Linked DNA regions of Caenorhabditis elegans. The protein of the gene in region 2 purifies or fractionates together with the protein of the main gene of each other region. This does not show direct contact. Each region holds a gene or a part of one and is shown on either strand. Other genes may lie near its edges.

Evidence for each region.
Region 1: the proteins of C16A3.5 (region 2) and ucr-2.2 fractionate together in Caenorhabditis elegans (co-fractionation; one large-scale study listed by BioGRID). This does not show direct contact.

The regions. Positions count from the first base shown.
Region 1 is NC_003284.9:15,172,370-15,178,704, reverse strand, and holds ucr-2.2 (Peptidase M16 N-terminal domain-containing protein), read right to left. Parts: upstream 4,802-6,335; 5' UTR 4,801-4,801; coding exon 4,666-4,800; intron 4,617-4,665; coding exon 4,470-4,616; intron 4,208-4,469; coding exon 3,996-4,207; intron 3,943-3,995; coding exon 3,861-3,942; intron 3,814-3,860; coding exon 3,679-3,813; intron 3,674-3,678; exon of another isoform or gene 3,599-3,673; coding exon of another isoform or gene 3,114-3,598; intron 3,044-3,113; coding exon of another isoform or gene 2,242-3,043; exon of another isoform or gene 2,224-2,241; intron 1,853-2,223; coding exon 1,713-1,852; intron 1,662-1,712; coding exon 1,471-1,661; intron 955-1,470; coding exon 728-954; 3' UTR 560-727; downstream 1-559. Other genes in the region: pkhm-2 (PH domain-containing protein), read left to right, coding at 1-38; col-41 (Nematode cuticle collagen N-terminal domain-containing protein), read left to right, coding at 2,242-3,043, 3,114-3,598; ocr-3 (Ion transport domain-containing protein), read right to left, coding at 5,132-5,245, 5,990-6,121, 6,178-6,294.
Region 2 is NC_003281.10:6,378,963-6,382,071, reverse strand, and holds C16A3.5 (NADH dehydrogenase [ubiquinone] 1 beta subcomplex subunit 9), read right to left. Parts: upstream 1,301-3,109; 5' UTR 1,282-1,300; coding exon 1,231-1,281; intron 1,120-1,230; coding exon 679-1,119; 3' UTR 555-678; downstream 1-554. Other genes in the region: znf-622 (C2H2-type domain-containing protein), read right to left, coding at 1-187, 244-426; C16A3.6 (Protein MAK16 homolog), read right to left, coding at 1,538-1,997, 2,047-2,169, 2,222-2,610; nfx-1 (Transcriptional repressor NF-X1 homolog), read right to left, coding at 3,063-3,109.

The DNA of each region.
Region 1 (6,335 bases), on a different chromosome or scaffold from region 2:
ACACTTGCTGCTCCGCCAACACGCTGTGGCCAGTCTAATTCGCATCTCCATTTCTTTACTCATCAAGAGTTAACTCCATGATAATCGCTACCTGGTCCGGGTACCCATTGTACTTTTGTACTTTTTTTGTCCCAATTTTCCCCATACACATTCATTTCCATTTCAGCCTTAACACTTATAAAGTAGCTCAGTAGCTCATGTCATCTCCTCTTCCCACCTTCAACTCTGTTCCTTCGAACTTGTCTCATTTAATTGTAGTCTATCGCGGGCCCATTTGTGCAGAGCCCCCGGTGCTTCTGTTCGTCACGGCTAATAACTGTTAATTTCCCAGATTTCTTTCAACCCACCTTTTTGTTGTTGTTATCCTGCACATTTCAATGCTCACACCCCAAACTAGATTATACGGAATTTCATGTTTTTACACGTTTAAGTTGTCATTCTTTCCCGCTTCTCCCGAACGTTTCAAAGCCTAACTCTCACATTTACAATTCACTTATTCACCCTCGGTATATGTATAAGCTTATTCGAGCTTACTTTTTTTTTCTGTCTGTTTTTGATTACGTGAATAATTTCTTTATTTTTTTGTTCATTGAACAAACAAATTTCAAAGTCTAGTACCTTTTATTGACAGCAAAAAAATAGTCATATGAGACGGAAAACAAATTGACCAAAAAATAACAAAATGCGTTCGTCTACTGGAGTAAAATCATTTAATTTAACTAGATGCTCACAGAGTATCAACATATGGGACTTCTGAGACATTTCCATAACTGGCCAACGACAACTTGGTAGTCAATTTCTTGGCGGCAACTTCAACATCACTAGCCGACACATTTGGAATCTGTTGAATGTAATTGTCTTGGGACTGGAAGAGTTGGGAGGCTCTCTCGATGGCAAAGTTGTCGGAATGAGCAGAGGCTCTCAAGGCGTTGTTGAAGGCCTGCTTCTTGACGGCTGAAAGTTGAAATTAATACAAAAACCGATTAAGTCGGTAACGTCACAGTAGTTTGAAATTACCATCAACCTAAAAATCTGCAATTAGTTTTGTGCTAGAAATATTCCATTTCGCTTAAATTTTACGACAAGGTTAGCATAGTTTAGCTTTAGTCTAGTTTAGTTAAGTTCAACTCTACCACAAGAACACAATTTATATTTTGGGTTTTCAGTATAGGCCTCTAAAAATCATATTTATACAAAAGCCCTTCTCTAAGGCGGCTCAAATTGTAAATCTACATACAAAAATGTCAAGTATTAGGTCGTGAAAAAAGTTTTCTCCGAAAATTTTGAAAGTTTTGCCCCGGAAAGTTCTGCAGCTTTCTGGACTATTTTATTATAGAATGTTGTAGAACATCCTAGAAGCATATCTTTATTTAATTTTTATTTTTTTTTATAATTTCAGAAATATCGATGTACAAAAATAGTGTGATCCCATTTTATCAAATTTATACTCTAAAAAACAAAATTTCTTACCTTCAATATCAGCGACCTTCAAAGACTTCAATGCTCCAACTACATTCGAAACAGCTTGGTTAGCCTGGCTTCCTTCAACGACAAGGTATACTCCGGCCAGTCCACTATCCGCATGAACAGCTTGGAATGCGCTGGCCGATCCATTCTGTCCGACGGCTTTTGCGATGACTCCAGTGGTTCCGGTGTTGAATCTGAAATTAATCATTTCAAGTGTGAACATTGTAATTCCTTTTTTGTATTACTTGACTGGTGATGAATTTCCAAGTGCGGTGAGGAGAACTGCTTGGGTGGCCAATGCTTTCGTGTTGTTTCCGGCAGCTCCTTCTCCAGCGACAATCACATGCGCGTACTTCGAATCGGCATCTCTGCGCACTTCTCCTCCCTAGGTGTCAGAAAAGGTGAGAAATGATAGTATAGATAACATAAACAGTGGAGTGGATAATGAAATTGAAATTTGCAAAGTTTTTCTGTTCTATTTCCAAATCCAAAATGAGTGATTGCATTTTTTCGGGGAAAGAAACAATAGTAGCAAGTTTTTTCCTCTTCATGCCAAAGGTATACTGAATATCCGTCGCATTGCGATATCTGTCATACGACTAGGACCGGTAATTTTTTATCGGCGCGTTCTTCCCGATCTGTTGCGTGTCTAAGTTTCTAAGTTTTCCCAGCCTCCCCCTTGCCCTTGCAAGTTCTTGCCGGCTTTCGAGTTTTTTCGGAGAAAAATGTATAAAAAAGTGTTCACCAAAGCAATACACAACATTGTTCTCAACGATGTCTACTCTTGGCTATATTGGGGCAGGCGTCTGCTTGCTCGGAGTTTTCTCCGCTCTTTGCTCAATTGGACATATTGTTCAAGATATTAACAACCTTCGTTCCGAAGTTGAAGGACGCGTTGATGAGTTCAAAGTTCTTGCCGATGATACTTGGGATCGTCTCCTGATTCTTCAATCTCCAACAGGAGAATCTGCCAATCCAGTGCCATCCCTCCTCCGTAACAAGAGATTTGTGTACCCAGGAATGTGCAATTGCGACAGCAACTCTCAAGGATGCCCAGCAGGAGCACCAGGACCACCAGGAAACCCAGGAAAGCGTGGAGACGAAGGACATCCAGGAGATGAAGGAAGACGTGGAGCCAGTGGTATCTCTCTTGCAACCACTCACGATATTCCAGGAGGATGCATTAAATGCCCAGAGGGACCAGCTGGACCACCAGGGCCTGATGGAGACTCTGGACCAGAAGGATTCCCAGGACTTCAAGGGCAATCCGGACCATCCGGTGAAGATGGAGCCCCAGGACAGGAGGGAGCCCCAGGAGATCAAGGAGAACAAGGACCAAAGGGATACGATGGGACCGACGGACCAGACGGACAGCCAGGAACCACATACTTCCCAGGACAAGCTGGACAGCCAGGAGAGCCAGGATGGTTGGGAGAGCCAGGACTTCCAGGACAACATGGAGAGCCAGGAAAGGACGGAGAGGAGGGACCACAAGGAGCACCAGGAACTCCAGGAAACGCTGGTCACGACGCCTTCCCAGGAACCCCGGGACAAGCTGGAAAGCCAGGAGCTCCAGGTAAAATTTTTGTTGTTGTTACTAGGAATTTCTTGAACAAACAGTGATGAAACATTTTAAATTGTTTCAGGAAAAGATGCCAACTACTGCCCATGCCCACAAAGACAAGACGACAGAACCCCACCATCATCTGGAACATCCGCTCCACAGCCACCACCACGTGGATCCACTGCTGCTCCAGGAACTCGTGCTCCACCAGCAACTCGCGCTCCACCAGCAACTCGTGCTCCACCAGCAACCACCCGCGCTCCACCAGCAACAACTCGTCCAGCACCAGCTTCACAGCCACCAGTCAGAGAGCCAGAGACTCCAGATTCTGGATACCCATCCCCAGCTCCACAAGAGCCAGCTCATCCATCACCAAGCTACCCGTCTCCAAGCTATCCATCTCCAAGCTATCCATCCCCAAGCTACCCATCTCCGAGCTACCCATCCCCAAGCTATCCAGCTGAGCCAGCTTATTCCGTCCCACCACCAGCCAAGCCAGAGCAGCCATCAGGAGGATACGATGCTCCATCTCCACCACAAACTGGAAGCTACCAGAGACGTTGGTAGATGCGTGACACTTCTCATGACATTATTTATGACTTTGTTATCCAACTCCACTGAATAAATATTCGTTTTCAAGAACTCACCTTGTAAGCACTTGAAGATGGGGACGCAGCGTTTCCACTTCTGATTGGGGCGTGATTGTCTCCATAGAGAAGAAGGTCATCGTGAACAGCATTAGTGGCAAACAATACTCCGTTTCCTGTGACGAAGTGCTGCTCCTGAAATTTTAAAATTGAAAACTTGCAGATAAGAATAAGCAACTTACTGCAAATGAGGACAAAGTTGATGTGCAGATCGATCCAATTTTAGAGCATGGTGCATAGATTGAGTTTCCAAGTCCTCCATTTCTAAAAAAAAAAGTTTTGCTCAATGAATTCTCGAAAGCTTCTCAATGCCAAACCTGTAAGCGGCCTTGTGAATCTGGTCAACAACCAAGTCGTAAGCGGTTCTGTATCCGTTGTCAGCGCGCATAGTTGGCAGCACATCCTCGACTTCCCATGGCTTGAATCCTGGGTTACCAGCGACTTGTCCCAATACGGAAAGTCCGACGGAAGTGCTTTCGCGTGGAATTGTGAGGGAGACTCCGAAAAGATCGCGGGAGGTGAAGGATTTCTGAAACATCACCCTCGCTATGTCTGTGAGACTTTTTGGAATGCTCATGAAAATTTGATAATTTTGCTCCAAGTTAATTAGACCACATTTTTTCTGAAATTTTGATACAAAATACTTAATTCCAAATTTTTTTTCTAACAAATCTTTTCTAAAAAAAACTGTGAATGTATTATGCAATCTTTCTTCAAATTTACATTAAAATTCTTAGTTCTTTTCTAACGCCCAGTAGATTCAACTTTATCGATTTTTTTTTCTTGCTCACCAGAACTCCTCCGGTCTGTGACAACGTCCATACAACTGTGTTTCCAAAGTATTCCTGGGTATCTCTGCCGACGAAATTTCTGATGGTATGAGAGAGTCCGGCCTGGTTGGCTTTTTCGTAGCGACTTCCAGCTCTGAAGGCAAGAACCTAAAATTTGAAGATGATTTCGGATAGAAGAAACAAATTAAAAAAAAACCAAATGTGCAATTGGTTTGTGAGAGTCGATAGTTCCAACGGTCAATCCATTTCCAAGTTTGGCCACTTTTTCGACTGGTTTTGTCGTTGCTGCCTTATGGGCTCCGCGAACAGCTCCAATGTTGCGGCTAAGCATTCTGAAAAAACTAGATTTTCAAAGAAAAACTAGATAATTTTCAAAAATTGGGTAAAATTGAACAATACGGTTATAAAAAGTGCATAATTTATCAAATTTATTCATTTTTTGTTTAAATATTAAATGGAAAACTAAAAATAACTTCATTTTTCACAAAAATAGGTCCAAAAAATGAGAGACGCCTTTCCCGACTCATTGCTGACGCATCCCTTCTCGCTTGCGCGTTTCGTGCGCACATACGTCACTGGCCAAATGGCATGAAACGACGAGGACTATGAACACTTTATTACGGCAAAAATTAATAAACGAATAATTGAAATTTTTTTAGTTTTTACGAAGCATGTTTTGATAGAACATGTAAGACATGAATGGAACTGTTGTTTGACAAGCGGATTGACGGTTTTCCACGCGGTGGAATTAATTTGAGTTGTGGTTGCTGGCGGTCCTGAAAAAATATATTTGAAAACTAAAAAAATGATATAAATTTTGTGAGGTTTTTTTCGAGAGGAAAAGTTTGATTACAAATTTTTCAGTTTCAGCAAAAATTATGTTTTCCTATAATTTTTACAAAACTAACAAAATGTGCTTAAACCAAGTTAGGATATTTCTGAAGACATTAAAGGTGGTGTAGTCGAATTTTTTTATTGCTTTATTAGACTCAAAATTGTCTGGAAATGCCAAATTTCATAATGAAACTTCTTGAAAACTTCTTTTTAAAAAAAGTTATGACGGCTCACAAAATGGCCCAAAATTCGCTAGAATAACGGCGAGATTTTTAAATTATTTTAAACCAAATCTTGCCTTCCATCGACTTTAAAGTACCTAAATAAAGTTGAAAACACAAGATAATTACACGGTTTATTCAAAATTTGACGGTAATTTCAAAAAAAAATTGTTTCCAGCCGCTGCGACATAGGCAAGTCGGTCAAATTTCAAAATTTAACTAATTTTAGGTCACTTTTTCACGCGTCATAACTTTTTTTTGAGAAGTTTTCAAGAAGTTTCATTATGAAATTCGGTGTTTTCAGACAATTTCAAGTCTAATAAAGCATTAAAAATATTCGACTACACAACCTTTAATAGGATTCGGGAATCACCAAGTCTTGCCATCAAATTTGTACAATAAGAAATAAAGTTAATTTTTTTCAAATTCTAGTATAAATTAGGGAAAATTTATAGATTCACTTACATTCGACTTCACTTTCACAACAAATGCTCTTCTTCGTTTATCGGAACGTATTGGCCGAGTATAACGATAAAGTGATAGGAGGCGTTCCGAGGCTGAAGATGACTGCTCTAACATTAAAATTACTTGCGCCCACTGGAAAGTAAAATGGTGAAACTTGAAAATAAAATGTTGAAGTATAAAAAAATCACCTGACGCTTCCATTCTTTCTCAGTTTCGGCAATTTTCTCATAAGTACGAGTCATCATAGCAATTAGTAGATTCAGAAGCATAACAGTCACAATTAACTCGAAGAGGATGAAAAATACCTTAAAACGAGCTTGTAAGCCTGAAAAGAGCTTTTTTTGTA
Region 2 (3,109 bases):
GTTTCTTTGGCAAATTCTCTGGCTTCTTTCTTGGTTGCTTTGGACCTTTCTTCACATCATCCTCAATCTTCTTCTCATTTTCCTTGTGCTTTTTGCTAGCTACGTGATCAGTCATTGCATTCTCCGATTTGATTGATTTCCGACAAGCCTTGCAGTACAATGGTTCAACTGAAGCAGCAACGACTGGCTGAAAAATTGATAATGAGTAAGTATTAAGCGAACATTAGAAAACTTTTCCCCTACCTTTGTTGGGTTGAACGATGCAGCTTTCTCATTGAAAAGCTCAATTCCTATAGCTGGAAGCTCAGCAGCTTGTCTTTTCAGATTGTACCGATGCCATTCGGTTTTGTAATGATCTCTCTGCAGCTCGGCTGTCTCGAAGACGACACGGCATGTTACACATGTGAACCCTGTAGATCCATCCATTCTGATAGATCTCTGTAATAAAATGTTTAATTTAAAGCTTACAAGAAGAAATTTAAATAAATTGGAAAAAATATGCAAATGGTCAGCAATAACCATTTAAACAGATGAATAATAAATGATAATATACAATGAAAATACAGCTATATTTATTTGTTCAGTGACGTTAAATTCATAAAAAACAAAACAAAATTATTCGGTCTACGAGTGAGCTCGTTCTACTTAAAATCAATCGCATTACTTCCTCATAGTGGCCTATTTGGAAACAGTTGGGGCAGCAGCTGGTAGTTGGGTTTGAATTGACGCGATCTCCTCATCCCAAGCTTTTTCGATTTTGGCCCAGTGAGTCAGCAACTCCTTCTTTCTCTGCTCACGAGTATTGAAGTAGTAGGGGAACTGTTCACGTTCAGCCAATGTCCATTGATCCGAATCGACAATCTCATCCGGCGACTCGCGTTCACGATCATAACTGGAACCTCCTGGATCGAGAGCAAAACGGAAAGGCTTGAAATGACGTTTCTCCCACAATTGACGGCATCCGTCGGCAAGAAGGATCTGGCTCTTACGGGTGTCAACCTCATCAGCGTTAGCGTCGAATCGAGCACGGATAATACACTTTTGGAAGCGAACTTCCAGATTGTTTCCTCCATACCAGTTGTCAACTTCGCGAAGACAGCGTTTGTAGAGGCGGGTGACCTGAAAATGCAATAATTCGCTACATTTTAAACAGACGAAATCTCCAATCAGATTAAAAAACAACGCTACCAATTTCACAAACGACTAAAGCTTTTCAAAAATAAAAATTACCTTCTGTCTATGGCTCAGCGCCTTCGTGAACATCCACGCCGGCGAATCCATGGCTTCCTCCCGGTCTTCTCTGAAAACAATGGGTTTTATAGAGTACAAAAATATGTGATTGGAACAATAAAATAAAATTGGAAAAAAAACCAATCAGTTTAATTTTTAGTAAACAAGGAAAAGTAACAATTTTCATTTGAATTTTTGGGTAAAAGAGTTAAAAATTAAAAAGCAAATAACAACAACACAATTGGAAGAGGGCGAATAAAAGAAAAGAACAAAAATAACGATAACAGACAAAATGGAATGCGAAGTTTTATGCCTTGACCCTTTGTCGTGGCTCCGTTTCTTCTTCGTATTCAATCTCAACATGAGCTCGTTTCTTGAGCTTCTTCTTCTTTCCATCAGCAGCTTTCTTCCCAGTCTTTTTCTTCGGCTCCTTCTTTACCTTCTTCTTTGGTGGCTCCTCAATTTCCATTGGCTCATCACCTCCTTCCTCATCATCTTCATCCGAATCCTCTTGTTCTTGTTCTGGCTGCCAATTATCCTCGTTCTCACTGTCAGTATCTCCTGGTGACCAATGTCCATCACCTCCGTCTTCCATGTCCTGATCCTCATCGTCGGAACTATCAAAGTCAGCGACGAACTGAGTCTCACCCGTGTCTGCGTCGTCCTGCTCGAGTTCTTGCTCCACTTCCAACTCTTTTTCAGTGTTTTCCAGCATTTGTTCGAATGCCTCTTGACGGAAGTTGTAAACATCGCCATATGTTCCTTGTCTAAAAGTTGTTTCATTCAAAATGTGCACTTTCTAATATATCAACTCACTTAAGTCTGGCTAAGAGCTCTTTCTCAATAGCGTGATCAAGTTTAGCTGCAACAAGTGCCTTCTCTTCACGACGTTTCTCACGTCTTTCCACTTTCCGTCCAATTGGAATGAGTTTCTTCTGGCTGAAAATAAATAATACTATGCAAAATTCAGTTTCTATAAGTTTAAACTTACTTTCCACGGACTGCCATTTTACGCATTCTGATCAAATATTGATGAATTCGGATGAGACGAGCTTTGCACTTGTGTCTAACATATTCACTCCAATGAAGAAGTTGATCACTGATTTGTTCCAATGCTTTGTTCATATCCTTTGACAACTTTGTCTTTTCCCATAAACGACGTGGATAGTGAGATCGTTCGACAACTTTTGCGTACAAGTAACATACTCCGTTCTCCTCACGAACTGTTGCATACTGTGAGTTAGCCAATGGACACGAAGCTCTGTTGCACAAACCAGTCAAATTCATTTCATTTTTACAGAACATTTTTGGCTTTGTCCACGCTTTGTAGGCGCATTGTCCCTTGTTGAGAATGTTCCAAGTCACATCGTCGCACTGCATTTTTACCCAGTTTCTGAAAAATTCGAATTTTTTGAGTTGTTTTTCACACGAGAATTACTTCGATAAAAGGAAAAAGAAGCAAGAATTGATTGAGAAGAACGGGCAAAAAAATTGTGAAAGAACCGAAAGTGTGCGTCTTCGCGTGGCGGTGTTTGCACACTTTGTCAGTCCCGCGTGCCTTAAGGCGCCTTCTCTCTATTTTCATCTTTCAATTAAAATTTAAAGTCTCAAACAAATATTTTCACAGGAAATAACTGGGCCACAGGAACGCAATTAAAATAATATAAACACCAGAGAATATTTATTCATTAGTTAAAACAAGCAAACCGTATTTTAAAGTATTCAAAACAATGGAAATGTACTTGAAACAAACTGTTACACCGTACAATTGAGGATATGAATAGTAACATCGAAAATTGATGTGATAGTGCATGTAAAAAATCTAATACGTTTTATTCTAGTAATTCAGCAACCGGCTCCTCTTTCGCTGGAGATTCAA